2 linked regions of the Arabidopsis thaliana genome follow. The protein of the gene in region 1 interacts with the protein of each later gene in a pairwise test. Each region holds a gene or a part of one and is shown on either strand. Other genes may lie near its edges. The genes, in order: PTAC14 and ZIM.

What was found.
Region 2: the proteins of PTAC14 (region 1) and ZIM interact in binary tests that used the Arabidopsis thaliana proteins (3 or more experiments, as listed by UniProt).

What each region holds. Positions count from the first base shown.
Region 1 is NC_003075.7:10,873,687-10,889,650, forward strand, and holds PTAC14 (plastid transcriptionally active 14), read left to right. Parts: upstream 1-5,130; 5' UTR 5,131-5,227; coding exon 5,228-5,284; intron 5,285-5,339; exon of another isoform or gene 5,340-5,400; coding exon 5,401-5,556; intron 5,557-5,969; coding exon 5,970-6,107; intron 6,108-6,154; exon of another isoform or gene 6,155-6,189; coding exon 6,190-6,315; intron 6,316-6,399; coding exon 6,400-6,528; intron 6,529-6,628; coding exon 6,629-6,718; intron 6,719-6,806; coding exon 6,807-6,957; intron 6,958-7,063; coding exon 7,064-7,173; intron 7,174-7,248; coding exon 7,249-7,320; intron 7,321-7,413; coding exon 7,414-7,519; intron 7,520-7,603; coding exon 7,604-7,798; intron 7,799-7,889; coding exon 7,890-8,011; 3' UTR 8,012-8,366; downstream 8,367-15,964. Other genes in the region: AT4G20100 (PQ-loop repeat family protein / transmembrane family protein), read right to left, coding at 313-1,179; VSR7 (VACUOLAR SORTING RECEPTOR 7), read left to right, coding at 1,881-2,178, 2,411-3,085, 3,164-3,279, 3,360-3,429, 3,514-3,674, 3,832-3,913, 4,004-4,086, 4,178-4,241 and 3 more; GSO1 (Leucine-rich repeat transmembrane protein kinase), read left to right, coding at 10,534-13,930, 14,007-14,359; AT4G20150 (excitatory amino acid transporter), read right to left, coding at 14,843-14,859, 15,466-15,603, 15,724-15,814. UniProt on the Arabidopsis thaliana protein: Essential for chloroplast development, especially for thylakoid formation. Involved in plastid gene expression, probably by maintaining plastid-encoded RNA polymerase (PEP) activity.
Region 2 is NC_003075.7:12,637,836-12,652,983, reverse strand, and holds ZIM (GATA-type zinc finger protein with TIFY domain-containing protein), read right to left. Parts: upstream 7,421-15,148; 5' UTR 7,200-7,420; coding exon 6,894-7,199; intron 6,738-6,893; coding exon 6,648-6,737; intron 6,564-6,647; coding exon 6,430-6,563; intron 5,960-6,429; coding exon 5,852-5,959; intron 5,743-5,851; coding exon 5,637-5,742; intron 5,520-5,636; coding exon 5,436-5,519; intron 5,376-5,435; coding exon 5,250-5,375; 3' UTR 5,120-5,249; downstream 1-5,119. Other genes in the region: AT4G24480 (Protein kinase superfamily protein), read right to left, coding at 1-194, 288-496, 872-987, 1,091-1,235, 1,329-1,627, 1,717-2,574; CLT2 (CRT (chloroquine-resistance transporter)-like transporter 2), read right to left, coding at 7,674-7,834, 7,924-8,049, 8,139-8,262, 8,468-8,518, 8,606-8,641, 8,734-8,833, 9,158-9,273, 9,353-9,390 and 2 more; PWD (phosphoglucan, water dikinase), read right to left, coding at 10,353-10,557, 10,633-10,748, 10,829-10,921, 11,002-11,175, 11,252-11,344, 11,430-11,540, 11,663-11,788, 11,872-12,001 and 13 more. UniProt on the Arabidopsis thaliana protein: Transcriptional activator that specifically binds 5'-GATA-3' or 5'-GAT-3' motifs within gene promoters.

The sequences.
Region 1 (15,964 bases):
TAGCTTTTTAGACATTTGTTATATGTCACAATGCAATTGATAAAGATATAAATTTGTTGACAATGAATGCATAGGTTCAGAACCATAAACACCTTCAAATTATTAAAACTCAAAAATAGAAAGTAGAAACCCAAAAGGTAGTTTCATCAGCACACAAAACTCAATCCTGTTAATTTAAAAGTAACGAAATAAAGCAATTGCAAAATTATAGTAGTCATTACAACTCCACCTATATCATGATTGATGAAGCCTCCCTAAGTTACATGAATCTTTCTGGTGGTGAGATCAAAACTCTACTTGTTCGAGGCCTTGTTAGACAGCTTCTTCACCGGTTTCATGCTTCTTCTTGACGGAATCTGCCTCGACTTTGCGACAGTGAAAGTAGAAAAACTGAAGCAGAATAAGAAAATCAAGAACAGCACATCCTCCTGAATCAACTAGCCATGGTAGATTCGGTTCGATTTTCGACCATTCGACGCTGTTCACTAGTATGCTTGCAACATAAGTCACATTGCCAATGAATGCAAAGAAGAACATTAATGGATTCAATCCCTCAACATTTCCTCTCCTTACATTCATACATATTTGAGGAAGCCTTCCACCCATGTAAATCGCCGCCATTGCCCAACCCAACCACATTCCAATATTGTTGTTTTCTCCTAAGTTACCGCTAGAGACCTCCAAAAGCTTTCTTGCTCCTGCTCCTCCAACTACAAACACTCTATCTTTCCCTCTCAAATCCATACTTCTTGAACCACTCAATACGTTGAATGATCCAAGAAACAAGAACACCGAGACCACACATAGCAACGATTTGGTAGAAGGACGCTTAGCTTCTTCACGAAGCAAAGGCTCTTCTACATCAACCATCTGATGATTCCTTCGGTTTTTCATCAACCGCGGGTAAATATGCCCGTAGTATATAGATTGAACATAGAGAACAAGTGTAGCCAGAGTATACAACACTGCCGTGTAGAATTGAACTGGAAGACTAGCTGGTTCCATCAAGCAGCCAACAACATTAAAGATATCACCAAGCATCCATGTTGTTAAGAAGGTTATAGAGACTCCTTCAATGGACTTTTGATTGTAGTTAGTCATAATCTGCGGTATCTCGGCAACACTCCAACTGATAACACTGATGATACCAAGAGATAGTGACAAATCATCTCGAATCATCGTTCTTCACGTATGATACAGCCGAATAAACCTGTTAAAACCCTAAATACGAAATTACAAGTAGCTGAATAATATTGAGCAATGAACAACTCCTCTTATAAAGGTAAGAAGAGAGTTAGAAGATGAATAGGAAAAGGGTTTTGAAACTACAATGACCAGATTCTAAGAGGAATAGGAAAGGTTTTCAGAATTCAGATTGGAGAAAACGAATCCTATGAATGAATTAGGTTAAAATTTTTAGTTTCTTTCTCTATATAATTAAAATTTGATATTTATCAAAAACAAATTAAATAATTAAAAGGATATATCCAAATAATTAGAAAAAATAAGAATCTAAGTATATATCTTGTTTATACACGCAATGTTTATCTCTTCAAAGTCTAGGCTTTTGATCGAGTCTCCTACTATACTAATACCACCAACCAATTTAAAAAAAAAACAAGTAGAAATTTAACAAAAGTCTAACATCTTCCAAATTTTTTCCATTTTCTAAAATTATGTTTTGAGTTTGACGTTTCTTTGTTATTTATATAAACTATAGTATGCTATCATCTTCAATCAGAAACAGTTCCACAGAAGTTTTCTGTTTTAACTTTTCCTCTGTTTTTGATTTTTCTCTCTGAATCTCTCCTTCATTTCCCCGGGAAATAGTACCAGAAAGGTTATCATCGATCAAACTCTTCTTGGTGGATTCTTCAGAGATGGGTTTAGTCAACGGGAGAGCTTCGTTGACCTTTCTCCTCGCGGCGTTGACCATCATCGCTATGGTCGTCGAGGCTAGGTTTGTGGTGGAGAAAGAAAGCATAAGCGTGCTGAATCCAGAGGAGATGAGGTCGAAGCACGACGGCTCGATAGCCAATTTCGGTTTACCCGATTACGGTGGGTTTTTAATCGGGTCAGTGGTTTATCCGGATAGTAAAACCGATGGATGCTCTGCTTTTGGTAAAACCTTCAAGCCCAAGTTTCCTCGTCCCACTATTCTGCTTCTTGATCGTGGAGGTAAAAAAGTTAAAAACATCTTTAAAAGTTAAAACCTCTGTTTTGTCCATTTACTGTTGTTTTGTTTGAGTTCAAAGATTTAAACTTTAGTCTGCTATGTTATTAGCCAATAGGACTTTATGGGTTATGCTGCAAAAATACATTTTGAGCAGAAAGATATATTTTTTTTACAAAGAAAGATTAAAAGTTTAATCTCTCAAGTAATCTTTGCTCCATTATTGGATGTTTTTAGGTTGCTACTTTGCCTTAAAAGCGTGGCACGCGCAGCAAGCAGGCGCGGCTGCAGTTCTTGTGGCGGATAATGTAGACGAGCCATTGTTGACAATGGATTCACCAGAGGAGAGCAAAGATGCGGATGGTTTCATAGAGAAGCTAACAATCCCATCGGTGTTAATCGATAAATCATTTGGAGATGACTTAAGACAAGGGTTTCAGAAAGGGAAAAACATAGTTATAAAACTAGATTGGAGAGAGTCTGTGCCTCATCCTGATAAGAGAGTAGAATATGAGCTGTGGACTAATAGCAATGATGAGTGTGGTGCACGGTGTGATGAACAGATGGACTTTGTCAAGAACTTTAAAGGTCATGCTCAGATACTCGAAAAAGGCGGTTATACCGCGTTTACGCCGCATTATATTACTTGGTTTTGCCCTTTTCAGTTTATAAACAGTCCACATTGTAAGTCTCAGTGTATAAACCATGGGAGGTATTGTGCTCCTGACCCTGAGGATAATTTCAGAGAAGGGTATGAAGGGAAAGATGTTGTGCTTGAGAATCTGAGACAGCTTTGTGTGCATAGAGTTGCGAATGAGAGTAGCAGGCCTTGGGTTTGGTGGGATTATGTTACCGATTTTCATTCTCGATGTTCGATGAAGGAGAAGAAATACAGCATAGATTGTGCTGAGAGTGTCATCAAATCTCTGAGTAAGAATCTTTTTTCTTTTCCTTTTTAGATTTTAAAGAAAGAGAGTCTTCTTTGTTTAGGTTATGAATCTTTAAGACTTTTTTCAGATTTACCTATTGAGAAGATCAAGAAATGCATTGGTGATCCTGAGGCTGATACAGAGAACCAAGTTCTGAGAACTGAGCAAGTATCTCAGGTTAGTTTCTTAATCTATCTTTATTTAGAGTTTTGAAGAAACATTTCAGAGGTTTGGTTACTAACTGTAACTATTTCAAGATTGGCCGAGGAAACCGGGGAGATGTTACGATATTGCCAACATTAGTCATCAATAACGCTCAATATCGAGGTTTGGTACTTGATATTTTTTCAGTTTCACTCTCTCTTTATGAAGATGCTGAAGTTTCTGTTGTTATTGGTTGCAATTGTGAAGGGAGATTGGAGAGAACCGCGGTTTTAAAGGCGATATGCGCTGGTTTTAATGAAACATCGGAGCCTGCCATTTGCTTAAACACAGGTCTAGAGACAAATGAGTGCCTTGAAAACAATGGTGGTTGCTGGCAGGATACAAAAGCAAACATCACTGCTTGTCAAGTATGTCGTAAAACCGAGCTTACCACATCACATCTCACCACTATATTGAATATCAGTATCAATTTGTTTGGAATTGTTTTGAAAACTAGAGAAAATGTGAAAATCTAGAGAGATATTTTCTAGTCCTATAATACTTGAATCTTTTTTGTTTGATCAGGACACATTCAGAGGAAGACTCTGCGAGTGTCCGGTTGTAAAAGGTGTTCAATATAAAGGAGACGGGTACACTTCATGTACACGTAAGTTGTTCACACATTTCACACAACATAGCTCTCAAATGTTGAGACCGGTTTCTTGAATAGTCTCTGGTTTGTGATTGAGCTTTGCAGCTTATGGGCCTGCGAGGTGTACTATGAACAATGGAGGTTGCTGGTCTGACACAAGGAACGGCTTAACTTTCTCTGCTTGCTCAGTTTAGTGATTCTCTTGTCATAAGCCAAACCCTCCCTTACAAAGTTCTTGTTTTCAGTTCAATCATCTCTTTGTTATTTATGAAAAATTAGGACTCTGTATCTACTGGCTGCAAATGTCCTGAAGGTTTCCAAGGCGACGGTTTGACGTGTGAAGGTACATAACTCTTAACTTATCGATTAAAATCTCGAAAGAAACCACATAATCATATTACCAACAATGTAATTATGTTTTCTGATTTGGCTCTATTGCAGATATTAACGAATGTAAAGAGCGTTCGGTATGTCAATGTAGCGGTTGCAGATGCAAGAACTCATGGGGTGGATACAAATGCAGCTGTTCTGGTGACCGGCTTTACATAAACGATCAAGATACTTGTATAGGTAAAATTTTATCAATCAAGATTTAAGAGTACTCAAATTCCATAACAGTATCTAATTAATATACATTGATGATTGTTTGTTACAGAGAGATATGGATCCAAAACGGCATGGTGGCTCACATTCTTGATACTGGCTATCGTTGCAGTAGCCGGTTTAGCTGGTTATATATTCTACAAATACCGGTTCAGGGTACTACTACTCTTTCTGATTCCACAAAAGCATTTTTGTACTTAATAACGGTTTTAGGATTACCAAACTAACTTTTCTTTGGTGTTCCTATTAACAGTCTTACATGGACTCAGAGATTATGACGATCATGTCACAGTATATGCCACTTGAGAGCCAAAGAGCTCGTGAAGTTCCATCAGAAGCCGAGCCTTTTACACTCTAATAGTATATGACCAAAGTAACCAAAACTGTCATACACAAAGAAATGTTTGAGATCAATTAATGTACATATGAATTATACTGTAAAAATAAAAGAGTGAGATAGAGTTGTGTATATTTTCATGGCAAAAAAATAAATAATTTGGATGTAAAGAGACTTTTGAAGAAAATAAAACAAATATTGCTTTCATTGAGAGTTGAACTCAAGACCTCCCGCTTACTAAACGGGTGCTCTAACCAACTGAGCTATGAAAGCTTCTTGCAACATATTATTCCAAATAAATTATATCGTAAACTAAGAGTTAAAATCTTGAAAACAAAGGATAACGATCTTCGTCTCCCTCTGCTAAACCCATTTTCTTCTGTTGAGGAATGGCTTCTTCAGTCTCTCTTCAGTTCCTGACCAACACCTTTATCTCCAAACCTCAGGTTCTTAATCTTATCTCTCTGTATCACCTAATGTTTCTATGTCATGTGTGTGTGTGTGTGTCTGTCTTTGTCTGAATTTTCTGAGTACTCCTCATGTTTTTTCCGGTCGGACAAAGGGTTTCTGCAACGGAATTGTGTCAGCACCAAGACCCAGAAGCAATTTATTAAGAGACAGACAAAATGGTGTACGACCCATCAAAGTTGCGTCTATTGAGACACAACCTTTCCCTCTGTTTCAATCTCCTGCTTCCGAAGAATCTTCCTCGTCCGAGGTTAGGATTTTCAGTTTTGAGTGTTTTAGGGTTTATAGAGTTCTAAAAGGCAGTACCTTTGACAATTCTTTGCATTGCCCCTATCTGGGAGATTGATTTAGAGTACAAATGAGTTCTAAAGGTAGTACCTTTAGACAATTCTGTTCATTGCCCCCATATGTGATATTGATTTAGGGTACATATGAGTTCTTAAGGCAGTAACTTTAGACAATTCTGTGCATTGCCTCCATCTGTGAGATTGATATAGGGGACTTCTTAAGGCAGAAACTTTAGACAATCTTGTGCATTGCCCTCATCTGTGAGATTGATGTAGGGTACAAATGAGTTCTAACGGCAGTAACTTTAGACAATTCTGTGCATTTCCCTCATATGTGAGATTGATTTAGGGTTTTTGTCTTTTGTTTCTTCACTAGCTGGAGACAGCAGATCCGGATTTCTACAAAATTGGCTATGTTCGAAGTGTGAGAGCTTATGGAGTTGAGTTTAAAGAAGGTCCAGATGGTTTTGGTGTCTATGCTTCTAAGGATATCGAACCTCGCCGTCGAGCTAGAGTCAGTCTTCTTAGTTAAAAAGTTGACAACTTTTTGTTTTGTTCTTCTCTTTAGATTATTTTGTTTTCTTTTCTCTCTGCAGGTGATTATGGAGATTCCTCTTGAACTGATGATAACCATTAGACAGAAGCACCCTTGGATGTTTTTCCCTGATATTGTACCAATTGGTCATCCTATTTTCGATATCATTAACTCGACTGATCCTGAGGTAGTAACACATTTGTGCTATTTCGATATCATCAACTCGAAAGTTCTTATCTTTCTCAAAGTCCTTTCACATTTGTGCTTACAGATTGATTGGGATATCAGATTAGCGTGTCTTCTGTTATTCTCTTTTGATCGAGATGATCACTTCTGGCGGCTCTATGGCGATTTCCTGCCGGCTGCTGATGAGTGCAGCAGCTTGCTTTTAGCTACAGAGGTGGATTGAATTGATATGATTGCCATTTGAAACTGGTCACATTTACTTGTGTCTTTAAACTAATGCTTGATGATATCTAATTCTGTGTGTTTTTCTATAGGAAGACCTTGCGGAGCTTCAAGATCCTGATCTTGTTTCAACTATCAGACAACAACAGAAACGAATCCTAGATTTTTGGGAAAAGAATTGGGTAATGAGGCCTTATATATGTGTTTCCAGTATATCTTGACATTTGGTTATTGCTTTGTTTTTCATTGGCAAATTGTATTCCGTCTCAGCATTCAGGTGTTCCTCTCAAAATCAAAAGGCTTGCCGAGGATCCAGAAAGATTCATATGGGCGGTTAGTATGGCACAGACACGATGCATCAGTATGCAAACTAGGGTCGGTGCTTTGGTTCAGGAATTAAATATGATGATTCCTTATGCTGGTAAGGAAGAGCATGTTGTGTAGTTATTGATAAATTAAGATTTAGTATCAATGAACTTTTTGTTGAGGAACTAAATAAGAATCTCACGATTGATCATTCTCTGCAGACATGCTAAACCACTCATTTGAACCAAACTGTTTCCTACATTGGCGTCCTAAAGATCGCATGCTGGAGGTTATGTCAAATGCTGGTCAAGACATTAAGAAAGGCGAAGAGGTAAGAGACTCAAATGTTCCTAAGTGTCAGCCTCACTTCACTGCTTTATCTATCTTCTTATAATGCTTTTCACAGATGACGATTAATTACATGCCAGGCCAGAAAAACAACATGCTTATGGAAAGATACGGCTTCTCAACTCCTGTGGTAATGCTTTTTACGACAATCACATTCATCTTACACAAACTATGTTTCCTTTGCAAGTTTTCTCGTTTATTCAGTTTTTCTGGTCTGCTGCAGAATCCGTGGGATGCTATAAAGTTCTCTGGAGATTCTCGCATCCATTTAAATTCCTTTTTATCGGTCTTCAATATTTATGGTCTTCCTGAAGAATATTACCATGACAGTAAGTTCCTTTTCTTCTGTTTCCTCTCTATTCCTTGACAAAAGATGGAGAAATGAGCACCAATGTTACCTAAATCTGTGGCAGGCGAGTTATCGAGGGGCGATACTTTTGTTGATGGAGCAGTTATCGCTGCAGCAAGAACATTACCTACTTGGTCAGACATAGATCTTCCTCCAATACCGAGTGCGGAAAGAAAAGCAGTTAAAGAATTGCAAGATGAATGTCGAAAGATGCTTGCGGAATATCCCACAACAGCAGAGCAAGACCAGAAGTTGCTAGGTATTACACTAAAGATATATACACCAATGTGTTATTATCTATTATCGCTCATATACTAAAACTTAAGCTTTCCCTCTTGTTGTTGTGACAGATTCAATGTCAGAAGCAAGGACAACATTTGCAACAGCGGTTAAGTATAGAATGCACAGAAAGATGTTCATCGGAAAAATTATCAAGGCACTTGACATCTATCAAGAACGGTTACTCTATTGATTCAAGCAAAAAATAATTATGAGCTGAGTGAGATTCATACTTGGTGCTCACTCCCTTGAGCTACTTAGAAACTGCACCATGTAATTGAAAGGTTCCTGTTTTTTTTTTTGTTTAGTGTAAGGTTATGTATTTGTATGGAACAGTTAGACTAAGTGTGTTAGTTTGTTTTAATCGCAATCACAAACAAATCATAACCTCTTCTTTTCTTGGCTGCTTTAATGAGTTTGATTAGCCAACAAACGCTTTGGAATCATCTGTGTTTTTTTTTTCTCTTTTGATTAATTCATGTTCATGTTTTTAGTCCCTAAGCATGATTAGTGTCTCAAATGTTTTAGGGTAATTGTGTCTCTTACGCCGAACTATAATGTTGATTAGTCTCAATAATTGATTATTACTTATACTATTTATTAACCTTGTGGTTACACTAATCAATCAAATCATATTGCGTTTCTTCTACTCTTTGTCTAACATTACTATTTTCAAAAAAAGTTACGGTCCAAACCAAACAAACCTACTCTGAGTTATACAGAACCATAAGCAATCTATTTCTTACCTTTGGCTACTTATTTGATACTTTACATTGACTAACTTGATTCTTAATAATTATCTTCAATATGTTGAATATTTTATTTTTGAAGTAAGACCACTATGCGTTTCATAATTCTTGCCATGCATAATGAAATTATTCCTTTGAATTTAAGATTAATTAAAGTATAAATCAACCAAACAATAGACAAAAAAAAATAAAAAAAAATAAGCATCTTGATCTTTTTGGTGGATCGAAGATAATTCCTTTGTCTCATTCTTTTGGATTTAGAATCTCGTTCAGTAGAATATTAACATTTTTAATTATAGATTATCAATTATCGAACAAGTTGTTGTACGTAAACTTGATTCGATCTAGCGTTATTACAGTCAACCAAAATTTATATAATAATAACAATTTATGAAAATGACAATATTATTCGATGTATTATTCCTTTTTTCCTATAATTAGATAGGTGTGATTAAATTCAAGCTAGATTCCGAATCGACAACAACATATTATATCTATTATTAACCTCAATTTTTGAAGGCAAAAAACACACGAAATTATTCAAAACTCACGAGTTGATTCTTTACTTCGATGAACATATAAATTGGGAAAGTATCACCGAACTTATTTGGGTAATAAAGAAAAAGATGGATGAAAAAATTATGTTTGCAAATTTTAATAAGAATTATGTTTGACTTGGTAATAAAATATAGGGCATAATCATATGATGCCATGTTAATGTACGATCATACCACAACTGCTCTCCTTGTCGTGAAAAGGTTGAAGTGATGAGAAGCTAACACACTTTGTGACATAACCAAAGCCAAAAATATATACTTCAACCAAGTCATTTTCTCAACCACTCTTTTCTCCTTGTCCAAGGTCAAAGCCATGCATCACCATTTTATTTTCTATTATTCATTATTGTTACTTTTCCTTTATATAACTAATAAAAGGTCTATTACTAATAAACAACTAAACTTTTCTTTTCTTTTTGATAAAATTAAACAACTAAACTTGTCGAAAAGAAATAGGAGAACAAAGAACTCTAACTTCTCACGAAATTGATAAATCAAATGATTGCGTATCACAAAGACACTAAAAAGAAAAATTAAGGAATCGTGTAGAGTTGACACTCTATACATTCAGAGTAGTAATCATGTGTTTGATAGATAATAAATAGATAATGGAAGTATGAAATGAGAAAACTTGTTGGGATCATTTATCATTTGTGGAATCCTCTAAATCTTTTCTAACTTAACTCCAAGTCGTTAGAGTCCAAGAGATATGAATCGATCGGAACTTCAATACAGAATTTAATTAGAATATAGTGGAACAACATCCACGAATCTAAATGTCATAAGTTGTTAATTGATCAAACGAAATAGAATGTACTTATTATAAGCTTATAATTTTACAAGTTTGATGTGAATGTAAAGTGTACTACTCCACTATTTATTTATATATTCTGTGGTTTCTAAAGAAGACCAAATGTTTTTTTTTTTTTCTTTCCTAAGAAGACCAAATGTTATGTCAAAGTTTAGGCACTGTTTTAATTATATAACATGTCTCCACGGACGAATAAATGTACACACGAACATCATAGTACGACCGTTGACCTTTGCCCCTCCATTGATTGATAAAAGGCTAAAAGCCGAAACATTTTCATTCTACGAGCCTTCCCATTCCATTTCCCCACATCTCTCCTCTGACCTCTCTTTGACCCCTCTCTCCTCTCTCTCTAGATCTCTCAATAAAACAGTGAAATAGCAAAAAAGAAACACAAAAAAGAGAGAGAGAAAGAAACTTTGTTCTCTCTGCATTTACTCTTCTCCAACTCAGAGATAGAGTCCCTATGCACCGTTTCTAATGACCAATCATCTTTCTCCCTCTTCATCATTCTCTACAACAAGAATCACACAAATGCCATAAAACCTCCATTCTTCTTCCTCAGTAAACCAAACCATAAGACGACGAAGAAGAAAACATGCAACCACTAGTTCTTCTCCTCCTCTTCATCCTCTGTTTTTCCGGTTTAGGTCAACCGGGTATCATCAACAACGATCTTCAGACTCTTCTCGAGGTGAAGAAATCTTTGGTCACGAATCCACAAGAAGACGATCCTCTCCGACAATGGAACTCTGATAACATCAACTACTGTTCTTGGACCGGAGTCACATGCGACAATACCGGTTTATTTCGTGTAATTGCTCTAAACCTTACCGGTTTAGGATTAACCGGTTCAATTTCACCTTGGTTTGGCCGGTTTGACAACCTAATCCACCTTGATCTATCTTCCAACAATCTAGTTGGTCCCATCCCAACTGCTCTCTCCAACCTTACTTCCTTGGAGTCTCTGTTTCTCTTTTCTAACCAACTCACCGGCGAGATTCCGAGCCAGCTCGGCTCCCTCGTTAATATCCGGTCGCTAAGGATCGGAGACAATGAGCTTGTTGGAGATATCCCGGAGACGTTAGGGAACTTGGTGAATCTCCAGATGCTTGCTCTGGCTTCTTGTAGACTCACCGGTCCTATACCGAGTCAGCTCGGTCGTCTCGTCCGAGTTCAGTCGTTGATATTGCAAGATAACTATCTCGAAGGACCGATTCCGGCTGAGTTAGGAAACTGCTCTGATCTCACTGTGTTCACTGCGGCGGAGAACATGCTCAACGGGACGATACCGGCGGAGCTTGGACGCCTTGAAAACCTCGAAATACTCAACCTGGCGAACAACAGTCTCACCGGAGAGATACCGAGTCAATTAGGTGAAATGAGCCAACTCCAGTATCTTAGCTTGATGGCAAATCAACTTCAAGGTCTTATCCCCAAGAGTTTGGCTGATCTGGGAAATCTTCAAACTCTTGATTTATCGGCGAATAATCTTACCGGAGAGATACCTGAAGAATTCTGGAACATGAGTCAGCTTCTTGATTTGGTTCTAGCAAACAATCATCTCTCTGGTTCATTACCAAAGAGCATTTGTTCTAACAACACAAACTTGGAGCAACTGGTTTTGTCTGGAACTCAGCTTTCTGGTGAAATCCCTGTGGAATTAAGCAAATGTCAATCGCTTAAGCAGCTTGATTTGTCGAACAATTCTCTCGCTGGCTCGATCCCTGAAGCATTGTTTGAGCTAGTCGAACTCACAGATCTTTATCTCCACAATAATACCTTGGAGGGTACGTTATCTCCTTCGATATCAAACCTCACTAATCTACAGTGGCTTGTGTTGTATCACAATAACTTGGAAGGCAAGTTACCGAAGGAGATCAGCGCACTCAGAAAATTAGAGGTTCTGTTTCTGTATGAGAATCGTTTCTCAGGGGAAATCCCACAGGAGATTGGAAACTGCACAAGCTTGAAGATGATTGATATGTTCGGGAATCATTTCGAAGGAGAGATACCTCCTTCAATAGGAAGATTAAAAGAGCTTAACTTGCTTCACTTGAGACAGAACGAGCTTGTGGGTGGACTTCCCGCCAGTTTAGGTAACTGTCATCAACTGAACATCTTGGATTTGGCGGATAATCAGCTCTCGGGATCAATTCCTTCATCCTTCGGGTTCTTAAAGGGCTTGGAACAGTTGATGCTTTACAACAATTCTCTTCAAGGAAATCTTCCTGATTCACTTATCAGTCTGAGGAACCTCACCAGAATCAATCTCTCTCACAACAGGCTCAATGGTACGATTCATCCATTATGTGGTTCGAGCTCATATCTCTCATTCGATGTCACCAACAACGGGTTTGAAGATGAAATCCCCCTGGAGCTAGGAAACTCTCAAAATCTTGATCGTCTCAGGTTAGGCAAGAATCAATTGACAGGAAAAATCCCTTGGACGTTGGGGAAAATCCGCGAGCTGTCCTTGTTAGATATGTCAAGCAACGCTCTCACAGGAACCATTCCGCTACAGCTCGTCTTGTGCAAGAAACTGACACACATCGATCTCAATAACAATTTTCTATCAGGTCCTATACCTCCATGGCTTGGAAAACTTTCACAGTTAGGAGAGCTCAAGCTTTCTTCGAATCAGTTTGTTGAGTCTTTACCTACTGAACTGTTCAACTGTACAAAGCTGCTTGTGTTGTCTCTTGATGGAAATTCGCTTAATGGGTCGATTCCACAAGAGATTGGTAACTTGGGAGCTCTCAATGTCCTTAACCTTGATAAGAACCAGTTTTCAGGTTCACTTCCTCAAGCTATGGGAAAGCTCAGCAAGCTGTATGAGCTTCGGTTATCAAGAAACAGCTTAACAGGAGAAATCCCAGTTGAGATTGGACAGCTTCAGGATCTTCAAAGTGCTTTAGACCTCAGCTACAATAACTTCACTGGAGATATACCTTCGACAATTGGGACATTATCAAAGCTGGAAACACTTGATCTTTCTCACAATCAGCTTACAGGGGAAGTTCCTGGCTCGGTTGGGGATATGAAGAGTTTGGGATATCTCAATGTTTCTTTCAATAACCTCGGAGGGAAGCTCAAGAAACAGTTCTCAAGATGGCCAGCTGATTCCTTTTTAGGCAACACAGGTCTTTGTGGAAGCCCACTAAGTCGCTGCAACAGAGTTAGAAGTAATAACAAGCAACAAGGTCTTAGTGCCAGATCAGTTGTGATAATATCAGCAATCTCAGCATTGACGGCGATTGGCTTGATGATACTTGTAATCGCTCTCTTCTTCAAACAAAGGCATGATTTCTTCAAGAAAGTGGGTCATGGAAGCACTGCGTACACATCGTCAAGCTCTTCTTCACAAGCTACACACAAGCCTCTCTTTCGAAACGGAGCTTCAAAGTCCGATATCAGGTGGGAGGACATCATGGAAGCTACACATAATCTAAGCGAGGAGTTCATGATTGGATCAGGAGGCTCTGGGAAGGTTTACAAGGCGGAGCTTGAAAATGGTGAGACTGTTGCAGTGAAAAAGATTCTCTGGAAGGATGATCTCATGTCAAACAAGAGCTTCAGCAGAGAAGTTAAGACGCTTGGAAGAATCAGGCATAGGCATCTGGTTAAGCTAATGGGTTACTGCAGCAGCAAGTCAGAAGGATTGAATCTGTTGATATATGAGTACATGAAGAACGGAAGCATCTGGGATTGGCTTCATGAGGACAAACCCGTGCTCGAAAAAAAGAAGAAGCTTTTAGACTGGGAAGCAAGATTGAGAATAGCAGTAGGATTGGCTCAAGGAGTAGAGTACCTTCATCATGACTGTGTTCCTCCTATCGTTCACCGTGATATCAAATCCAGTAATGTGCTCCTCGATTCAAACATGGAAGCGCATTTAGGAGATTTCGGTCTTGCCAAGGTCTTAACTGAGAACTGTGATACCAACACAGATTCAAATACCTGGTTTGCATGCTCTTATGGCTACATTGCTCCAGGTACTCATCTTCTCTTTCTTAGCTTTCTTGCATATTCACTGTTTTAATATCTAAAGATTTGAAATTGTGTGTCTAGAGTATGCTTACTCGTTGAAGGCGACTGAGAAGAGCGACGTTTACAGTATGGGGATCGTGTTGATGGAGATTGTGACTGGGAAAATGCCAACCGACTCAGTGTTTGGTGCAGAGATGGACATGGTGAGATGGGTTGAAACACATCTTGAAGTAGCGGGTTCTGCGAGAGATAAACTCATAGATCCAAAGCTTAAGCCACTTCTGCCATTTGAGGAAGACGCAGCTTGTCAGGTGCTTGAGATTGCACTTCAGTGCACAAAAACTTCTCCCCAAGAGAGACCATCTTCTAGGCAAGCTTGTGATAGTCTTCTCCATGTCTACAACAACAGAACGGCCGGTTATAAGAAGCTGTAAAAAAACTGACACCTGCAAATGTCTTTGGAGACATGAAAACTGCCAACTTTAAATTTTTTCTTCTGAAATTCTGTTTCTGCTTTGTATAGATGACATGGTTTCTTTCAGTACAAAGATTGTTTCGAACTTGATCCATCTGCTACAAAAACACTTATTGTCTTTTGCATGTACTTGTAATACAACTTAAACCAAATTTTAAACAGAATGATTCTGATTCTGATTCTGAAACTCTATTCTCATAACAGAAGGTAGATTGCAAGGTTTATCATTTCGCCATTATTAACCAGATACAAACAGATTCAGATTGTGAAAACACAAATCTTTAGGTTCATATTCGAAAACAGTGAATGAAAAGAACTCCAGAGCTGAAGTCAAAGAGAAGGAGAAGAAACGCTTATACAGGAAAGATCAGACAAAACAAGCACTTGAGATGAGTTCAGGGGAAGATATTTCTTTTCTGAAGACTTCAAAGATCACGCAAAATTAATCCCGATCTTCATCTGCATTACAAAAACAGAAGGAAAAGTTTGAATATTCCAAGTTATTCAATCCAACAAAACAAGAAATGTAATACACCAAATTCTGCCAGTCCCTCGCAAATATGCAATAGCCAATGGTGATAAACAAACAGAGATTCTTGAACTTATCATAAGTCACAAGATTTATCAAAGAAGAGTTTGCGAAAGCTTAGCAACTTACTACCTAAAACGAGACACGTTTACATATGTGGTTCCCTTCAAATTCGCATCTAGTTTATATGTACTGGCACCTTGCAACCTATCTAACTCTAGAACCAAAGAACTAGTCGAAAGTATCTATCTTTCCAGACTCATTGAGATCATGTTCAAAGGAATAATTGTATTGCTCAAACTGTCTTAACTTTTATAAGAGTGCCTGACTAAACAGATTTGCAACAAGCTAAGCCTGCATAGAGATTCGCTCAATTGAAAAACTTCCAAATGATTAAACCTTGAGCGAAGTTTCATTGCGGAGAATTCAATTACCATTGCAACCATTTCATACACCAAAAACGTCACCAATTTTTCTAAAAAAAAGCAAAATTTGAGAAGCTGATAAACCAAAAACAAGAAGAGGATAATATATACCAAAGTAACGGCGCTCATTAGCAGCTCTAGCCTTAGCGAGCATCACATCAAGATCTTCCTTAAGCTTCACATCCCATTTCACGAGCTGGTTCGCAAACACAGCACCAAGTCCCATACCCACCACATGCTCCCACGGATCTAACATATATTAATATCCAATCAGAACACAATGAATCGGAATCGCATTTTCTCAACAATCGAAATCAGAAAACAAAAATTAGGGTTGTTGTAGCATTTTTCGATTGGTGGACGACTTACGACGCATATAAGGGAGCTTGCGGAGGGCGTTGGAGTACATCTGGGTACCGAGACCCAGCAAAGCTCCGACCATTGTCGCACTTATAGGCATCGTTTCGTCTTCGGATCTTCTGAAATTTGTTGTTGTTGCAACGATGAGTCTCCGATCTCCGGTTAAGTGACTACTCGGACTTAGCTTCACAATGTTTTCCCCACATACATTGCCATTTCAGTGTATCGCCCTCATATGGGCTTGGGCTTG
Region 2 (15,148 bases), 1.8 Mb from region 1:
TTCTTTGCAGGTTTCTTGTGGGGCAATCTTTTCTTCACTAAGGTTTGGTATATCAAGTGGTAGAGCTCGAAGAACAGATTCTGTCAAAACCATTGATGATACTTTTGCACAGCAAGTTTGATCAATATGAGCACAACATACTGTCCCTGCGTTATCAGGCAACTCAAATTCTTTGTGTACTTGGCCTTGACTCCCTACAAGAATTCAGTTAGCTGATTGTATTACAAACTATGGACCGACAATTTCGTATAATTATGACATTACATATTCAGCTAAGTGCAGCCTACCTGAACGTTGAATGTTTTCAGAAAGAGTGCGTGAAGTCTTTGACTCTACAGTCTGACAAGGAGATGTACTATGCACGCAAGGCCTGGAAAAATCTGTAAGATGACTCATTTGAAGAGGTGAAGGAATCTGACACTGTGTTTCACCGTTGATAGAGGAATCCGGATCATGGACATTTCCTGGTTCCCCGATGAGGTCAACTACATATTCCCTGTTGAGAAATGATATCAAGTATTACTCAAAATGTGGAACATAAGCTCAAAACAACTCAATGGTACTCCAGAGCTAGCAACTATTTGTAAAGCACAGAATCAAGGACATACACAAGTAGACCCCCTGGAGAGTAGATACCCATCTGTTAGTAAAACATAAAGAATCAATAGGTGTTTTAAATAGAAGCAGGTATAGACTTCCTAAATACCATGCCCTGAAAGTCCACAAGTGGAGGCATCAAATAGTGATTTGCTAACAACCTGAGAGTCTACTTATGTAAACCCACTGAGGAATCTGGCTGTAGTTAAGTACATAGAGAGGGAGACAAAAAAACGGCCAATGGGAAGGCTTTAAAGGTTTAACACTATCAAACCTTGAAAGCTTCCTGTCATCGTCAATCTTGACAAGGCAAGAAGATTGGTGGCTCTCTTTACAGTATCTGCAACCTCGAGCTATCCGACATGGTAAACCTATGTAATCAGCCAATTTCTGCATAGTCATGGTAAGCAAGTCAATATCCAATATTTTGGACAAATGTTTCTTGTTTAAAACAGTCTAGCTTTCTCTTTTACTATGTAAGTTCATGGCTCACCTTAAATAGGATGGCACGATGCCGGCAAAGGCCCATTGTTAGACTACCTATAGGAAGAATGATACATTTCCGAAATTCCTTGAGTCTATTGCTGACCAGTTTCCATCGTTTCTGGAGATCACCTTGCTCCACCTGGAAATTCCCCCTAAAAGCTCCATAACCTCAGCATACACATCTTATATATATATGCACAACTATGAAGAATACTTGTGGAAACAAGAACAAGAAGTGTACGTACCCCATATAGACCGCAACAAGTCTGCCAAGTTTCTCGACGAGCACTAACATGTTGTCTGAAGAACAATACAGCTCATGTGCCTTATCCTCCAGTTCTTTAAGACGTGAGTCCTCACGTCTATCTATCAAAACCACTTCCATTGATGTATCATTCGGCTCAGTCTCCTTGAGTAACAAAAGAGATGGAATTCGTTTGCCATCCTCAGAATTGTTACACATCAACCAAAGATACGGATCCATTCCTAATATACTGTAAAATCCATCTGATATCTTGTCACTGTATGATAAACAACCACTTACCTGAAAGAAAAAAAAAAACAGAATAAAAATCACAATTCCGACCTAGATTTGAGACAAAAGTTAAAAGAGACATACGTACGACTACATACCCAAAAACGGTAGGAGATAGATTCTGTGCTCTGTATATGAACAGACTCACATGCTAGGTTTGCTTGAGAACTTAGCCACTTAGCAAGCGTGACCTGCAAGTAATAGCCTTCTCTTGACTTCTGCGCTAAGCTTTGCTCTTTGCCCTGTTCCCTAACCTCAACTTCTTCTTCCTCTTTGTTCACTGAGACAAGCGTGGTGGTCGAAGTTTCCCTTGCGTCTGTATGACTTGAGAAATTGGAGAAATTCCCGTCCACCGTCGTCCCGGAGAAGAAGCTTCCAGCGAAGCTGCTCTCACTCGACATTCGGGGAAGCGAAACCTCTCTGTCAAAGCTCCGATCAATGTTTCGTTCATGTATGTTAACCGTCCTAGCCGAATCAATGATAGAATCCGGCGAAGAAGTAGCAGGAAGCGGAGCGGGATCAGCCGGAGAAGACAACAGAAGCTCTCTCTCCTCATCGGCGTCGCTAGACATAGAGAAGCGCGTGGGCTTCACCCCGCGTCCATGAGTAGTAGTAGTAGATGATGACCTAGAGAGATTAGCCTTCTTCTCCGCCAACCACTCATAGAAAGCGGCTAGTTGCTGCTGATGCTTCTTCTCCGACTTGCGATCATCGCTAAAGAGATCTGAAACGGCTGAGCTTTTAGAAAGCAGAGGATTAGAGGAGAACACAGTACTCTCCTTCTCCTTGTTAGAATCTTCTCCGACTCCATTAGATTTATTATCTCTTTGAAATCCAAAACTCTCTCCAACGTTAGACGACGATTTCTTCTTGTCGTGATCATTCTTAAGCGAAAACGAATCGAATCCACGATCGGGAAACTGCCGCGGAAAGAAGTAAGTAGTCCGGTGAGGCATTTCGTTAAAATCTCACTCTGAAAGCAAAAATTTACAGATCGAACGAACAGAGAAATGAATCTTCTTCGTTTAACCAAATCCCGTCATTGAATCCAGATACAAACAAAAACAAACGATCAAGAGGAGACAAGAAAAAGAGAAAATAATCTCTAGTTGAATTCGTCGCCAGATACTGGAGAAGAAGAAGAGGAAGCTATCTAATACTTATCCGTTTAGAATTGAAGTAGTCAATCGTCAACGTTAACCACCGGAAAAAAAAAGAAGCTATCTAAACGTATCACCGGGAAAGAAAAACTAACGGTGGTTTGGTTTTGATAGAGAAAGGGTTTTTGTTGGTGGGATGAAGAAGCGTAGTCAAGGTGTTGGAGATTGCACGAGAAAAGGAAGGAAGAAGAAGAAGAAGAAAAGGAAAGACAACAGCAAATGGGGAATTAAATATTTTGAATTTTTATATTATTATTTATGGAAAAGTAATAAAATGGCCAATTAAAAACTCTGAGGAAGAAGAAGAGGGAAACTTTATGTGACGAGCTTACACGTATACTCTTCATGCAATAGGATAGTGACACGTGGATTATCATCCTAACTCATGCATTTCTTGGCTCTCTTTCTCGGTTTCTCTCGTGATCTCAGTTTTTATAGTTTTACTTTATAAGGAAGTGATGACTAAGGAGGATGCATTCTCCTAGATCTTAGGGGTGTCTAGGTGCTTGTTGGTTTTGTAATTATCTCTTAAATTATCGAAATTAGCAATTTTTATTACTATAGAGGATTGAAAATCTTATCACTGATCAAACTACACAAAAAATGTATCAAAGTCATATGTAGGTGGATATAAATTGAATTGGTTTGATGGTTATCTTTTTCTTAGTTTTAGTATATATGATATATGATTTGACAAAATATATAGTCAGCTGATTGTATTTGGACAAATTACTCTTTTTTTTTTGTTTTTTCATCATGAAATTTAACATTTTGACTGTCGTCTAATCATCACTTATGATATTTCTTAACGTTTTAGTTTTGATACTAATCTTTTTATTTATTTATAAATTATAATGTAGTTTAGTTAATCTTTGTGTAATTTTGGGATTTAGAAGTTTTCAAATTTTGCATATATAGTTATGAATCATGATATTTCATATGTAATGCTGTTTTATCTTATAAATATCAAATTGTTTATACTTCAAATAAGCGCTTTTAAGCACCAAACGTTTGATTGCTGCTACCCATTTAACGCTTCTCATGTTTATAAATTAAAAATAGTTAGGAAATTCAGCATCATTTATATGTCTCCTGGATACAGACGCACGAAAAGAAGAAGATAACACAGTTACTGGCATATCTACTGATTTTGTGGAAACGGAACGTGACAAGAAACAAGTGCATACATATCTTCTCTCCCTTTTCTCGCATCGCATATAGGGGAGTGCTTTTAAATTTTCCTTCATTTTATACAAAGTTCACATCACTTTTAACATAAAGAAAAATTCAATGTTGGAAAATAAAAGTTTCAATTATTTCCCAACACGACAAATGTTTTAACATAAAACCACGAGAAATGGATATTTGTTCAGATGTTTTCTGGTTGCAAATAATCTTTTTTTCTACGTTTTCATTAAAGATTATATACAGGGATGATATCACAAGAGTGTTTAACTGTTTTGAGACTTTTAACTTTAGGTTTGGTGAAGCCTTCAGATTTAACTCGTGACTCATAAACTAATTTCAATATATCGGAAAACATTATATAATCATTAATCTATTTGTTTAATAGTACATAATAAGATGATATGGTACATGCATGGACCTCTTTATAGTACAGAAACAGACCACCCATTAATTTATTCGTCTCAGATACTTTTCATTTGTTTGAACAACTATAATCTATAATAAAGAAAGAAAGAGCAACGAGTCGTCACGAGGATCGGGTCACTTAAAGCGACTCCTTCTCGAATAATCTCATCATAAATTCCTTCATAAACAAACACTATTGACATCAGAAAAAAAAACATTATCTTAGTTGATTACCATCAAACTGGTTCGACGGTTCTCTTTTCTTCGATACATTTTTGTGTGATTTATATAATGTATTCTATTTGTTATGTACACAATAATGTGATTTGTAGATAATCTAATCTATTTAGTGGTCCTGAGCCCGATTTAGTAATCCACATGGTTTTGGTATATGATGCGTATGCATACATCCTCTAATAAACTAATCTTGTAAACTAGGATTGAGATCTAAGATGCATTGTCCCATTCCAATGAAACTTTTAAAATCTTTTCGGATATTTTGATACGTAGTGTTGTTAGTTGGTCAATACAACCAAAAAGAAGAAGAAATCACCTTTCAAGTTTTGAGTAGATTAGTATTTGATTTATGTATGAGACATTGATAAGTCTTTTTAATCTGATCATATCTTTTGAGGATGTAACGTAATAAGTAAACTTTTTTCCCCTCAGAATCGACTTTAACGTTTTTAACCACACCATGTCAATGGGTATGGTTGCAAGCATAGTAACAAACTCTGAAACCAAAGACATCTGATATGGTATTTGATTTGAGGTTCGGTTACGGTTTCTATAATACATGTGATGGTGAAAAGATAAATTCATAGAGAAGACCATCTGATTCTACAAAGATTTCTATCTTCTGATTCTTATCACAGTATTTAGTGATCACCTAACAGATTAGAATTATCCCCATTGGCAAGAGAAACCATGGAAGTGTGTTCTTCAACACTTGCAGCTTCAGTGTTTAAGTTGTTAGCAGCATCAGCAACACTCCCACCATCATCCTACAAATAAGCGATGATGATTCAAGCTCCGCCTTATGTGGATAAACCAACCAGAAACACAGGGTGATATTTATAAGAGCTTACCGGTTTCATTAAAGCCAACTGATTCTCTTCTGTTTTCTTTGAGAGATCCCTCAATGTACCCTACAAGAATTGAACAATTCTAAATGTCAAACTTCTTGGCTATATCAGTATCTTATGAACTGAACATAGTGAACATATTATATATGTCTTTATCATCACTTTGTCTTTCATACGTACCCTGTTAGCCCAAAAAAGTCCACAGGCATTGCAGAGAGTCCTGGGGCCGGAAGGGCCACGTCGCATCATTGGTGTACATTTGGAACTAATGCCGCAATGAGTACACCTACATAAGACACACTCACGTTTAAAATAAGTGCAAACAAAATGTCCCACATTAGTGGAAAACAAAAATTGCAGGAACAGTTAATTGGCAGAGAAGAGAAAGAACTCACGATATTTCTGGATGGGCATCATCTTGGGCAGAATCTTGATCTGTGCCAGAGTTATAAGCCCCATCTGTCATCTTTGAAGAGGTGAATTGACCTTTATTACGTGCCATTCTGATAAACACTAACAAAGGTCAGAGAGGCAGAGAAGGTGACAAATCCTATCCCTTATTATTGAAATAGACATGTCGATTATTTCCAGTAAAAGCTACTTATCACACTAACAAAGACTCAGATGTCTATCCTGCTCAACTACAACCATATTGTCAAATACTACAGCAAGCCATGGACAATGAAGCCTACTACTCTACATAAACACCTACATGGTCACCAAACTTCTTGAAACAAATAAAAGAAAACTAGCTAGATAGTAAACTAGTTGAATATGAACAGATTTCCTTTCAATCCATAGCACACGAAAGTGAGGAAGTAGTTAAGCAACCAGAGCATAGCCAGAAGAGTAGAAAATTTTTAGTTTAGCTATACAAGAATACTAAATTTTTATCCCAGAAAAGGTGAAAGAATTTTGTTCAGAGTAACAGCTTTTGGCATAAATTGGTAAAACTCAAGACTGACACACTGACCTTAAGGCAACTTCTTGGCGAACACCGTATCTTACTTTCTTCTCGAAACATCTAGCATTCCTCTTCTTCCGAAACCTATCCAAGGATTGTGCCCGTTGCGGAAGGCTACAGCGGCTCTGATATTCTACAACAGGCTAAAAATAACACCAAACTGAAAAAGGTGGAATCGAGATGAAGTGACAATTTAAGCAGAATTTGAACACAAATAACAAAGTTACCATATGATTCTGCTGTTGAGCTAGTTCCATCACCTGCGGACCAGGAGCAAGCTCAGTAGAACCACCCAACAGCGACAACACAGCATCCACCTACGAAATCAATTTCCAAAGTTTGGTTAAGACTAGCAAAAGCACAAAGGTGCAAAAGAGGCAATCGTTACGTGCCCTAAGCCATCAGATGTTATGTTTCAGATGCATCCATCGAGACTTCACACAAATAACAAAAGAGGGACAGAGTAGAATTACCTTGTCAGCACCAACGGCATCAAAAACGTAAACTTGTCCACGGAACGAGATCGTAAGCTGATTCGCCCCTTCCGGTGGCCGAGAAACAAGTAATTCAGAGCCATCGGATCGGTGAGCAACCAATTGAGAGCCATCGGGAATCAAATCGGAGGCAGCACCATAGATAGAGTCAGGATGAGGGATTTCTTCCATATCGTCGTAAGGAATGTGACCAGACGTAGCGGAGGCAGAGACATGGTCTTCACCAGCGGAAGCAGAGGCGGTACCAATCTGGTTATTTGGGATAATCGAATGGCGACCAAACATCGGAAACTGCCAAAAGGGAGAGCTTTTTTTTCACATTGATTGAAGGATATAGAGAAAGAACAAAATAAACCCTAACCCTAAGAGCAAAGGAAGAAGGAAATAGTTGACATCGAGAAGAGCGATTACAGAGAGAGATGGTGATCGGCGCGTGTGGAGGAGGCGAGATTAGGACCGTCGTCGAATTCACCCGACGGTAAAAAAAAAAGGTGACTTTAGGTAAAATCGCAGCACTGCTTCCGAGACGACCCGACGACTCTACTTTACTGGATTTTTAACCAATCACAAATTTCTCTTCTTGTTATTCTTTTTTTTTTTTTTTTTTCTTTAAGCTAGTTTTTCACGTAAAAAAAATATCTGAGAATATTCTATGTATCTTTGATGGTCAAAGGAAAAAAAATTGGGAAATTACACGAATTTGGTTTATCAACAAAAAAAAAAGTAATGCACAAAAAGGATGAATGGTGAGTGAGTGTGTTAGGAGGTCTTGGTGTGTTGTTTAGTTGGAGTAGTGGGAATGTTGTAGAGAAGAAGACCTAGGACAAGAACTATACACCCCATCGTAAAATTTGAGCTCAAGCTTGATCCTCCCGGTAGATACGGCAATGGTTTTGACATTATGTACACCGCTAATGGCACTACAACAACACCAAAAGTATTATCTCATATGGGTTTGAGTATTTGGTGACACTTAAGAGGCGTTGCATGGAAGGATAGAAATATGGACCTGAGAGCATCATGGTAAGAGAGGAAACGATTGCTGAAGATATTTTCACCAGATGGAGCAATGAGATGTTGAAAGCGAGATTGGTGGATATATAGAGCAGTGGGAGTATAGGGGCACCATCACAGCCTGAAATTCTCAAATGGATAATCACAAAGTTTTAGCAGTGAATAAAATTCAATGAAGGAAAAAAAAACAAGTGTCGAATGGTCTCTAACCAGAAATCTTAGCTCCAGTGTTGAAGAAGCATCCGGCACCATCTTTTAGATATGAAGGAAGGCTGGCGAATGGAATGCCTTTCAAGTTTGAGAGAAAAGGCAACAACAGGAACACAAAAAGAGCCTGCACAAGCACAGCTTCAGTGATCCGTAACACTAAACCAAAAAACAAAAACTCTTCTCAAGTAGGAGAGAGATAATAAGTGAATAACAGAGGAAAGCAGCTTTCAAATGTTTTCTTCACGTACTCTTGATGTAATGGAGAAGCATGTCTAATTGTTTTGGCTGTAACAAATACATTTACAACATGATATTGTAGTAGTAGATACCTGAAATCCAGATCCAAATGAATTTACCACAAATATATCCAGTGACTTTCCCTGCATCCACCAGTTAATCTTAGAGTTAATTCAGCAAAGTTTCGAAAGAAAAGCATTCCTGTTTGATGCAGGGGATAAGGGAGATACCTCAAGACGCTTTGCAGCATCATTGAAAACAAATTCCTGTTAACAGACAAAACACTTAACAACTTGGGTCTTGGCAAAAGAAAATAAAATAGAAATGTTCACAACTCATAAGAGAGAGCGACCTTCACCTTTATGATAGATGCACCAGCTTGAAAAGCAGCGGATGCTACCAATACAGCAGGCCATAAGAAACCGATTCCAGATAGCGTAGTATCTGCACCAGATCCACTGCAGATGAGTTACAGTCAGCATTCACAAAAATGAAAGTATCACTATCACACAAGCTTCTCTAGAATCAGGGCCTTCTATTTGCTATGTGGATGATAAATACTAAAGTAGAGCCGTCTCCATTCATTTAGCATGGTGAATTTGATAGGTGTGACTCTGGTCCATGAAAACTAGTTTTCTAGATTGTAAGAGCTGAAAGCACTCTCTTGATATAATCTGTAAATGACCACGGATACACAAACATTTCTCTACCCCAAGATCAAGCATCCAGATCCAAGAAGATAAAAGTAACTTTAGAAGAAGAGAAGAGGGAGGAAGGAATACCTTGAAACAGCCACCACAACCCCCACAGCCACAAGGAGACAACCAGCAATTTGGTTAAGCAAAAACCTCCTGCCTAAAATAAGAAGAGCAAAAAGCAGCTGCCACACCAAATATGTCTGCCAAACATTGGGAGGCATGAGTTCAACACCCCCATGAGAACAAATGAGCAAGAAGATAATCATAAAACCAAAAGACCTGATTCAAAATGGGTATAACTGGTCCAGGAAGCATTGCTGCAACAGAGAGTGGAATCACTCCATATGTAACCTTATAAATATGTAAAGTTTCAATCATGCTATAAATGGGATACCTGCTGCAGCCATGCCAGTGGCAACACCAAGAGCTTCGAGAAAACCAATGATTGCGAATCTCCATTTGGGTACATCCATCATTTCATTCGTCACAATGCCTAGACGGCGCCTCGTATACAGAATGGTGAAATAAATCAAGACGTAGCTGCCAAAAACCATTCATTTATCATAATCTAAGCTAGGCTCCTTCACTGCCCAATTTCTTTCATAGCCACTCTTGTTTAAGTTACCCGAAAGTGGTGAGCTGAGCCATGAAAAAAGGGTACTGTTTCATGGGAACCAAAGCGAGTTTGTAGAGCACGCGATTAGCTACAGCTAAAGCTACGATTACGACGGAGTTAGCCACGATAAGGTTCCGATTAGAAGGAATTGAAGACTCCTCCGTAGAAGCACCGACGGAAAAGCGAGGTCGTCTCATCGGAGAAGTGGTTTTCGGAGTACTAAGAAAGCGAGATCTCAAATCGGACCGTCTGAGAAAACACATGCTCATCATAGTCGTCGAACGGTAGGAAAACAGTTGGGAGCTCCGGCAGCTGACCTGATAAATCGCCGGCGAACGGAACACCGTAGGAATTGAAGCATGAAGACATCTGATTGGTGGTGTTGTAGCCATGAGAACGGTATCCATAGCGGGAGACTTTCTCGGCGACTGTTTTTATATCCTTCTTCGCTTATGCGACCCTTCATACGATGTCGTTTAAACGAGTTTTGGATTTTTATCACACAATCATTTATTATGAAACTTTGAATCATGTTTGTTTGTATCAGGAGTGTGCCATGATGTAGAAATATTACATGTGTAATAGCAAACATATAAAAGATTAGCTTGTAATTATAAGATTTGATTGAAAACTTAGGGAATGGTACAAGTAGAAAAAGAGAGCTTAAACTTGGGGTCTAGCTTGGACGATGTAGATATGTCCACCTTTGACAACACCTTCAATGTCTTGAGGACAACCATAGATTGACTCTATCACATTTCCAGCTTCTGCAATCGCTGAGAATAGACGCACTCGAAAGGATTTGTCCATTATTAGTGGCTCCCTTGAGTAATCCACCACTACTTCCTCTGCTTCATCCATTATCACACTGCAGCACTTAACCCTTTCAGCTTCTGAGTTCCGAAATAAAAGACGGAAACAGAGAGAAACACACAAAACAAACCTGTCGTAAAGTCCAGCGCCTGCGTTGCCTTCGAGATCCTCGTTGTTTGAATCTGATCTGAATATGATTGAGGGTTTAGAATACAGACCTATCCTCTTACTTGGGTAACTGATCACCTGTACAACCCAAATTCCCCACTCACTCGGTTAATATATAACTCAACTTAAGAGCCAACTAGGATCTGTTTGTTTCTTACGGTTGGAGACTTGAGGTTTGTTTTCTTGGTGATGAAGCTCATTGCTCGTCCTGGATATGCTCCAACCAAGGTCTCTCCCAAACCCTTCACAATCTGAGAACGCCAGTTTCTTGATAACTGAGTTATTGATATTATTTACTCAAAAGTGTGGAAACTGGAGATAGTTCTTTAACCTCTGTGTATATTTCTGAAGAGTCACCAGAGACCGGATTGTTTGTGTGAATGACGAAAGCATAATCGCCACAAATGACTTCTTGAATCAGCACAGCCATGCAGACCGCATCATGATCAAGCTTATTTTTTTTGCAACTGACATAAGCTCTCTCGTTCCACTTTGAAGCCCAGACCTATGCAGATGTGGAGATCAGGGAAACACTTGGTTCCTTTAACTATAAGTACACAAACGTTCAAAGAGATTCTTACCTTCTTAATTGCCACCCAGGAGCGGTTCCAGCCTGATTCATCACCAAGATAAGGCATTCTTTCACTTCTCAATTTTGTGATCAGTTCATTTCTCTACCAAAGAGTTCAAAACCCAACATGAGATTCACATGGAACATGAACAGAGAGAAAGAAAGACAATTATATGCCCAGTTATTACCAGAGCCATTGGAGCACTCATTTGTAAGATAGCTTCTTGAATGGACTTAAGTTTTGTCAGGTCTCCTCTGTTAAGAGAATCTTTAAGGACAGAAATCCTGCGTGCTACATCCTGAAAAGCGATGGATCACCAAATCTATTTAAGAGACTTCTGGATCGCAAGCTCAGTGAGGAGCCGTCCCTTGGATTACTTTTAGAGAGTTCCAGAAAGAAGCAAATGATTAAAGGTTATACCTTATTGGAATCATCTGAGAGTATATTCTCAAATGTTCCGAATGGAAGAGCAGCTGAGGTAGGTATCTTGATCCATGATGGAACTCTTTCACGTAGAAATTTTATATTGTATGATTTTGAGCCAACCTAAAATATCTCATAGAAATGAAAATCCAAATGGTATTCTCAAAATGAAAACTTTTATCTTCATGTATTTGATTCTTATTTACCCTTTCATCAGTGAATTCCTTAGATGAAATCACATAGTGGCCACAAAACTTCTTCCCCTTAGAGATCACTCCCCGTGGAACAGAGGAAATAAAAATATGACGAACAGAGACATCAGAGTTGTTGCCATCACTGCAAGTGATATAATTTCAGAGTTATTAGAAACTCCTTCTCTAAGCGTAAAGAACAGTGACATAATAAGAGTTCGATTACCTGATAACTAAACCAGTAGACTTTGTATGAATAGATATTGCTCTCCCTTCCTTCGACTTCAGATTGCTGAGAACATTCTGATCGAAGCATGTAGCAAAGCATATCTGCATCAGACGAACTTAAGATGAGTTCCCTGAAAAAATTGTGAAGATCCTAGTTCTTCTTTTTGCAGCATTGTCTGATGATAACATGCCTTGCTGTTTCTTGCTCTAATAGATACATGAGACAAGACATCAATCATACTAGGAGTCAGCACGGCTACAACACCAGCAGGGATCTCCTCTTCTCCTGTGACTTTACTTGCAATAATTACAGTTGGCTTCGAGTAGAATTTGTTCTGAACAACAATTAACTCATTCACACAAACCACAAACCCATATGCATCAGCCGAGCTGATAACCTGCCAACTTCTCAACCAGAACCATTTTGGTTTAGAGCAAAAATACGATAAAGGGTTCAGTAATCACCTTCTACAAGGAACAAATCTAAATATAGTTCTTTAGTTCAAATTCATGGTAAAACATATCTTACCAGCCTAAATTCGCGATTTTCCTTAGAGAAGGATCAAATCTGTTTACAAGAGTTGATAAAACGGCTCCTGGCCCTGCTCTTATAACCTCTTCAGTGAAAACATCAATCTGTAAAAAATAAGAAACCCAAATGAATAAATATATCTTTTAGACTTTCTTACATAAAGAAGAAGTTGGAGTTTAACTGCAATGTACCCCATGCTTGTCAACACGTAACAGTTGACCAAGATATTTTGCAGTAGGCTGTATTATTGTAAAATAATGCTGACATCTATCAGCAAGTACTAGTTGTAAACGGTCAAGGACCGCTTTTGTTTGCAATGCCCACTGAACATCATGAGGTCTGTAAGCCTCGCTGACACGGTACCAATCCTGGGCGCAAAAGAGAATAACAATTAATATTCATACAAGAACATTGAGAGTCAAACTTTGAAAGAGAAACGAAGGGAGAAGAAATAACATGCCTTTGTACAGAATATGATTTCTTCATTGTTAACTATAGATAAGCACAGATTCTCAAGCACCACGCAGATGACATATATAATTTCCTGTTCACGGAAAGCAGATCAATCCATACCTTACTCTTTGGTGTAAAGACTAATATTTGGCTACAAAGGAAAGTAAATAGTTAAAAACTACAGAGATAACAGTTACCGGTGGGTTATTGAAGTTTAAAGAGATGAGTCTCTTCTCTATTGTTGTTTTAAAACATGACTCCAACGCAATGTCCAAAAATAGTAAATCTTTTGCCCTCGTGCGAGGTGCTCGTAGTGCAGGGTGTAACTGAATGCGAGCATCAACTAACTTCTGCAGAAGTACATAAAAACAAAGCAAGCATAAGGATAAAATAAATCAACAATAAGAGGAAGAAGACTGGCAATATGAAGAAGATGTGCTATTAAAACCTCTATTAGGGGCTCAGTGTTCTCTTCGCGAACAAGCCTCTTAACTAAATTCAGTAGATCCTACCATACAATGGAATTTGCCACTCTGTTAGACATTTTGATGTCTTTATATATAATGTATAATAGTATGAAAATATGTTATTAGGAAGATGGTATGAGAAAATCGAACCTGCAATTTTGGTGATAAACCATTGACAGCAAAGACATGATGACCCTGGAAAAGAAAATGAAAGGATGAGGTATTACTCTTAACATAAATACCGTTCTTGATGATGATATGTGTCCCAAGAAAATCAAAGTGACGGTTTGAATCATGAACTAATTACCTTAGATGGAGAAAGGAACGTATCAATAGCAGACTCAAGGTCTGCACCTGAATGAACTGCCTACAGAGGCAGGTACAAACAGTTTGTTTAGAAATTCAAGATACTGAAAGTAGAAAATGGAGCAAAATATTGTTCTGTAATGTAGGTCGAAATTGCAAAGCAATTATTATCTAATAGAGGCCAGAGGTATAAATATTCTCATCATTACTAAGCTAACTAACCATTACAGTTTGCTCCTAAGAATTCTTCAATGGATCAGGAAACGAAACTAGGCTGCAAGTGGTATACCTTTAATGTTTTCAAGTACATTGTAAGGTCACGGATGAGTCCTTCTTTAGAATCACTTCTGAAACGAGGCTCTGATACTATGGGGCGGTCATAACTTGCAAGCCTTTCTTTTGTGAGACCATTGGTCTGTAGTGTTTGCCAGTATGCATCGATCCTGAAGTCAGATCTCACATAGTTCAAGAGAGCCTATGGCAGAAGAAATAAACTCATCAGATATTTACAACAGGAAACTAAACTTCTGAACTAGCTAGTTAGCTGCTTTTTAAGAAGTAGCGAGTTTTAGAATGGAGTTTCAACTTTATCTGAGATGTTATTCTTCCTCTTATTTACCAATCACTAAATGTGAGTATCTTACTTCAAATGGAAGCATCTTTACCTCACAAATTATCACATCATCTGCGCTACTGTTGTTGTGCAACTTTTGGTGCCACTCTTCCATCATGCCGGATTTGCAGTGGTTATTTCTCTAACAAAAGATAATAAAGACAAGAAAATGTTAAAACAAAAAAGAAAGAAAGTACAAAGACAAACTACTCTAACAAGACAAGGAAAAGTTTTAGTTGCAGAGATTTTGAACTATATACCTGAATAACAAGGATTTCGTCACGGATTCTCTGCCCAACATCACCTTGACCTCCACGACCCACAAGTGCCATAGTTAGTCTCACAATTTCTCTCTTATTTGGTTGCTGCAAATATATTTTCTCCATCAAATTGGTGAATCTTTCTAGTGCTTCACTAATTTCCCTGCAGAAAAGGTCTGATTAAAAGAAAGAACAAAAAGGATCAACTATCAAAAGTAGCCAATGGAACAATAGCTCTACCGAGGTTTCACGTTATAGTTCTTATTCCAGGTGAGATGTCTGGTGGCCATGAATCTCATCCACACCATTATACCAATACATCCACCTTCTCCTTCATCCTTACAACGCTCGGTCAACTCTGTTGCAATGTTGAACCTGCCAAGCTATGCTTATAAGAAACTTCACTGACATTATTAAAAAGGAAAACTAGTTT